Linked DNA regions of Bombyx mori. Each later gene encodes a partner of the first gene's protein in a complex. Links are inferred from orthologs where the notes say so. Each region holds a gene or a part of one and is shown in the gene's direction. Other genes may lie near its edges.

The links. The genes of interacting proteins can lie anywhere in the genome.
Region 2: DNA-directed RNA polymerases I, II, and III subunit RPABC1 (region 1) and p53 and DNA damage-regulated protein 1 share a complex: the UniProt entries of both Homo sapiens proteins name them as parts of the PAQosome complex. The link is inferred for Bombyx mori from reciprocal best matches to the Homo sapiens genes POLR2E and PDRG1.

What each region holds. Positions count from the first base shown.
Region 1 is NC_085125.1:6,611,570-6,615,334, forward strand, and holds the start of DNA-directed RNA polymerases I, II, and III subunit RPABC1, read left to right. Parts: upstream 1-1,068; 5' UTR 1,069-1,263; coding exon 1,264-1,320; intron 1,321-1,391; coding exon 1,392-1,480; intron 1,481-2,453; coding exon of another isoform or gene 2,454-2,531; exon of another isoform or gene 2,532-2,581; intron 2,582-2,836; coding exon 2,837-3,015; intron 3,016-3,765. Other genes in the region: leptin receptor gene-related protein, read right to left, coding at 2,454-2,531; piggyBac transposable element-derived protein 4-like, read right to left, coding at 315-322. UniProt on the Homo sapiens protein: DNA-dependent RNA polymerase catalyzes the transcription of DNA into RNA using the four ribonucleoside triphosphates as substrates.
Region 2 is NC_085121.1:8,869,141-8,871,562, reverse strand, and holds p53 and DNA damage-regulated protein 1, read left to right. Parts: upstream 1-1,074; 5' UTR 1,075-1,159; coding exon 1,160-1,558; 3' UTR 1,559-1,818; downstream 1,819-2,422. UniProt on the Homo sapiens protein: May play a role in chaperone-mediated protein folding.

The sequences.
Region 1 (3,765 bases):
CCGCGTTGCCCGAAATAACCTAACTGTCATCGTCCCGGTCCGGTCAGTGGAGGGACGCGTGTTATTTTATTCGATATTTCTCTAATTAATGAAAGATTTGAATAAATTTACAATTTGGAAAAGGTTAATAGTTAAGTAATTATTTCATTGTTTCCATAAATTACACAAATCTACCAATATTTGGTGCTAAATGAATGGTTTGTTTGGCCGACATGAGCGTGTGCTAAGCCTGAGTAGGTGTTAGATATCAATGTTTTACCACGAAAAGCGTGTCAAAACACGTACAAAAACAAAGAAATATGCTTATTACATACCTTTCCATCGCTTTTTCAAAACTTTATCTCGTTATACTGTCGTCAACCACTTAAAAACACTTGAAAATAGACGCACAAACACTTCCAACTACTCCGCGTTAGCAAGTCCGGAACAATGAGGTTTTTTTTCTTAAAAACATATGTAAGTTTACTTAAGAAAGCGTCTATATTTTGTCTTTGTTTAACGTTCTAGCAGTTGTATGCGTTAGAACACTGCAGAACGTGTTTTAAAGTGCGCTTTTCGAATGAAAACAGCGGCATCAAATTACTGACCGTTCCGGTCGCCTGCCAGCTAAGCGTTTATTTTATCATGACCGGAGCGGGAGGCTGCCACCATGGCACATTTTTTCCGATGGCGTCTGCCATAGGAAGGGATATTGCAGACCATGATTCATTTTATGTAAATATGATGACAATATATTAAAAATGAATAATTCCAAGAATACTGCCTTTGAATATGGATAAAACAACAAAGCTTAAAGATTTAAAATGGATATTAACCGTATAGTTTTTAGAAAAAGGGGGCTGAAAACAGAATAAAGTGGCCGAATTCAGTTTCTCGGATTCTTTCATTTATTAAATTGTCAGTAAATTCCGAACAGTTAATGAGAGGTTCATTAATTTCATCTCATCTAACAACTACGGTGCTGTATATATCTCATCAATTAATAATATTTTAAGTTATTAATTTTCATTCCAAGATCAATTATTTTTCAAAAGATAGACATGAATGGCTTTTGCTATAAAAAAATCTATTGTATGGACTGTGATTCCTTTGCGTATCTGTATTCTGTCAAAAGAAACAATATTCTTTAAAAACATTACAGGCATAGATTATACACTTATGATTACAGGATTTACAGGTAATAATACCTAGCTATAACAAGAGAATCAATGAAATTATCGTTTGTAGGAAAGGGATTTATCAGTTTTAAGTAGATTATAAAACATGGATGATGACGCAGAAACTTACAAACTCTGGCGTATACGTAAAACTGTAATGCAGGTGAGGTTATATTTGATGCTATTCATCTTGTTGGTTGGATTCTAACAGTAACCGAGGCATAATATTTACAGTTGTGCCATGACCGAGGATATTTAGTCACGCAAGATGAATTGGACCAAACTTTAGAACAATTTAAAGAGCAGTTTGGCGATAAACCAAGGTATACTATTGTTCTTATAACCTTATTAATCTGATACGCTCTAGTGTAGCCAGAAAGGCATTCGGACTTCGGGCTACGAGCAATGCATCCATCAAAAAATTTATTAATTTTATAATTTGCGTATACAGTATTAAATAAACTATCATGCAGTGACACATTTATGCGTCTGGATTGAAGATCTGGCAACGGTTAATACTAATCAGCAAGATCAGTGGAGTTTGCAGACCCCGTTTCTATTTTCTTTTCACTGTTATATTTTGTTGTAATTTTAAAGTTGTCCACTATAATTGAATCTGCTACATGTTTTTTTATGGTGGGATAGCACTGTACCGTTTTATATTGTCAAAAATAAAATATGTTTAGATCTTTCCATTGTCAATCCATATGTATAATGTTAGGGTTATTCAGTTTAAAGCTAATTGTAGGTAGCTTGAATTTTTATATTTTTATATTTAACAAATCAGCCTCAATGGTCCAAACATTAAATTAACTTTTAATAATTTGTTAATTTGTCCCTACATATGTATTGTACAAGTTGTTTAATTTCAAGTCAGAATAATTTGAATCCAGTTTGAAGTACTGAGTAGCTGCAAGTGAGGTCTCTTGTATGAAATCAAAACACAAATATGGATTTGTAAACACTACTGACCCATCATTTTGGTTCAGGGGTATTGTAGTACTGCTAAGTTTCAGATCCAGCTACAGAGCAATTCAACGTTTTTGTCTTAACACTTGTTATCTTTCTTAGAAGCTTATTGGAATCTCCAAATTTAATAGGTTCTCACTATTAACATCTTTAAATTTACTTTCAGTTTCTTTCATCAGTTTCATTGCTCAAAAACTTTTTTGGAACATTAACAGCCTTTTAATAAAATGTTCATAATTTGAAAAGTCAGCACAAGTCGGCAAACTTTTAAGGAATCACAATATAATGAGTGTTTTCTACCAAAATTATTGTGTACTAAATTGACTTACCAAAATATAACTGAGCTGTCTGAGATAGAGAGCGATGTACTAGACTGTTTTTAAATTTATTATCTAACATTTCCATTTCTTCAGCTGTCCTTTCAAAATTCTTGAAAGTGTGTAATTTAGCATCGAAATATTTCACAATGAAATGTCACTTTGACTTATAAAAATGATTGTTGTCAAAGAGAATAATGTAAATACTACCTCTATAGTAAATGATTATGTAGTTACTGTGTGAATAATTGGAAATTTATGTTACCAGATCATTCAACTCATGGCCAACAATAGAAATCTGTGGGTTAATGATGAAATTAATATGAAAATCATCAACTTTGAGTTGATTTATAAAGAAATCTAGAAATTAATACAGCATTTTAATTTTTTTAGTGAGAAAAGACCAGCAAGAAGTGATTTGATTGTGTTAGTGGCTCATAATGATGATCCAACGGATCAGATGTTTGTTTTCTTTCCTGATGAAGCTAAAATTGGTATAAAAACTATAAAGACATATTGTACAAGAATGCAAGAAGAGAATATTCATAGGGCTATTGTTGTTGTACAGGCGGGTATGTATCATTAACTAATCAAAAGTATCCTACATAGTACTCGAGAATGCACATTTTTCTCCAAATAGAGAGCAAAATAAGTGTCTTGGTTTTTACTCCTTAATTGTAAAACTTTGTGGTTTTGATTGTATTTTGGAAACTCAATGTATAAATATAGCTTTAGTGGTATTTTCATAACTAGCCACTTCCTAATGTGTACATATATCGATATATATTTATTAAATGCATGAAAACCTTATCTGCACACTGTTCATCCATACTATGTGGAACCATGCGTTCATCGTCAGTGCGTTTCCAGATATCTTTTTGCCACATACCATCCGGCTCTGGAATTAAATCTACTCCACAGTACTTCCTGAGCACTATGATATGTCATTCTTCAAACGTGGCTTGAAGGTGTTACTCTGAGGTAGGCAGCAACTTGGCTGTGGGCTTGCTGCTGTCCATGAGCGACGGAAACCACTCACCATCAGGCTGGTCGTATGCTTGTAAGCCGGTTACAAAAACTAAAATAAACCTCTGCAATCTACAACTGCTATTTTCAAAGGGAATTTTGTATTATGATGGCAGCCATCTTCGCAATATCAAAGAGGAATACTAACAGTAATTTCTTTGAAATTGATGAGTCAGAGATATGAAAAAAAAAACTCGTATTTGCATAGTGATGAACCATAAAAATTTAATACATTGCAAAACTCCAAAATTAGAATACGAAAATCTTCAATTTGTGAATAAACCATAAAGGTAATT
Region 2 (2,422 bases), on another chromosome or scaffold:
TACGACCTACTCGTTTAATTCCATCCTGTAATATATTACCAAGATTGCTTTTCTTTAGAAAATTTCCAAATTTAAGTGGGTGCAGTGATGTAGTACTATTAGAATCTGAGATTAAAGTAACATGGACCATATATGGGCCGGGATCCTGTTCAGTGTATTTTTTTCTGTAAACAGAGTCAGCCATTGGGGTCTCAGATGGTGTCATAGAAGGACTCGCTGAAGTAGGCTCTGGTGAGGTCTGTACAATTTGGCGAGGAGGCACTATAAGCTTATTTACGTTATTTGCAAGATTTCCCGCCAAAGCCTGCTGCAGCGGGCGCAACGAAAGTTGTTTGTCCGAGATCTTTGGTTTAAAAGAATTAACAAGTTGTTTCTTTTTTTGGGATTTCTTCGATTTAACGTTGACAAATTCAGATACATTGGAAAGGTCGAACTCATCACAGAAAAATATTGGTTGGCTAAACCTTGAGTTAGTCGTATCAGTTGTCTCCTCAGTAATATTCGGATCCGGGGGATCCGTTCCCGCCTCCAACTCCATACTATCTACACTAAAGTACTAAAATATACAATTATAAACTAAACATATATACAGTTATAAACTAAAATATGCTACAATATCTACAGAATATCAAATTAAATTAATTAAAAAGGATATGAAATTTTTTATTGGCCCTCTTCTCAAGTTCCGTCCCAAATTTTTTCAGGAGTGAAGTTGTGTGATTTGTTTTATTTTTTCTATTTAGTGTTTCTTCGGGTTTAAATGTGTAATAATGGTGGTTTATTAACTGTTTAATATCTGTGAAAGTGCACAAATGTGGGAAAATGAAACAAAGCCAATGGACGTAACTTCTTGAGATCCTCCAAAAAGTCCACTGAAAAAATCTTAGTGAATGACCACCATTTTACTGAGATTATATTTCATCCCATTTCATTTCATTTAATTTCATCCCAGTTGATTAATGTCTTAAATTAGTCGTCTTCATCTCATTTCACTCCATAATATCATTTTTCATAAAAATATGAATATAAATTAAAATAAGACATGACTTAAAGGTCTCAGTTACCAGGTCATAAAATCCCTTAAAAAAAAAAAGTGACATCAGCTGGCTTCGTTTAAAAATTAAAAATACGAACAAAAGTTATTAAACATGCACTAAACATGGTAAATAATCAAGAAAAACTATTGAGGTATTTAAAACAAATAGAAACACTTGCATCTGATATTCTTGTTGATAAAAATGAAATTATAATGCTAGATAAACGAAGAAATAAAAATCGAGAAGCGTTAAGAGATCTTACTAAATCAAGTCAGAAGAAATATTGGCTCACGGTGGGATCAATACTCGTAAAGCATAAGTTTGAAGATACTAAAACTCTGCTGGAAGCCGATCAAAAACAATTAAATATTGACATAAACAAATTGAGGAGTGACCTGAAAATCAAAGTCAATACATTGAGAGATCTGGAAATGCAACCACCAGTTCCAGGCTTAATGTTAGTACCTCTGTCCCAGAAAGAAACTGAAGGATTAACAAAAAGTAATTTATTTTCTTTGTAATGGAAAAGTAAAATCAAAACTTAAAATAGTAACAATATTTAATTTTGATTATTCAGAAATGGAGAATGCTACACTATTTTATTGAGGTAATAGGGGTTTCTGAAATTTTGCTGACTGTCATGTATTTAATGAGTAGACCATTATGAAAGTTCATGTCAGAAGGTAAAATTATAATAATATATTATTATGGGCATCCCTCGTATAACACAGTGCTTGTAAAACCCAGTTTTGACATTACACAGTACAAGAATTGAGAATAATCTATGATTGTTTTATTTTTACACAAGTTCAAAAATATAAATATATATTGGATTTTTTTTTATTTGCGTTTAAAAATGGAAATTTCAACTTTATTGCTATTATGAAATCTCCCATTTCATACTGAGAAATGTCAGAATGCATTTTGTTCATAGTAAATGAAATTGATAAAAGTTTTTGCTTTTGTTTTTAATATTTTGGAAAGTAGTGACAATTGAAAGAAAGTAAATAATACCTGTCTCCTACAAGTTTATATGTTCATAATGATTTCAAATTGTGGTCCATAAAAGATTTAAGTCAGAATTTTTATGGTCATTTTAATTTTGAACCTTTAAATTTAAATGTTTGACAAAATCACGAAGCAAACGAAAGCTACTAAATATCAGTGTTACTTTTATTTTTAAATTTATATGATTCTTTTTCAAAATAAATGTGTAACATTAATAGGAGTATGCAAGTATAGAGGGTACAGTTAAGCACTACTGTCTTATCGGGGACAAATTGAATAAGTAGCAACACAACGGAAAAGCCACCAAAATACCACTCACATACCAAGTGGTATGATATGAATGTAGCAATTATAAATGGAAGAATGTGTGGTAAATA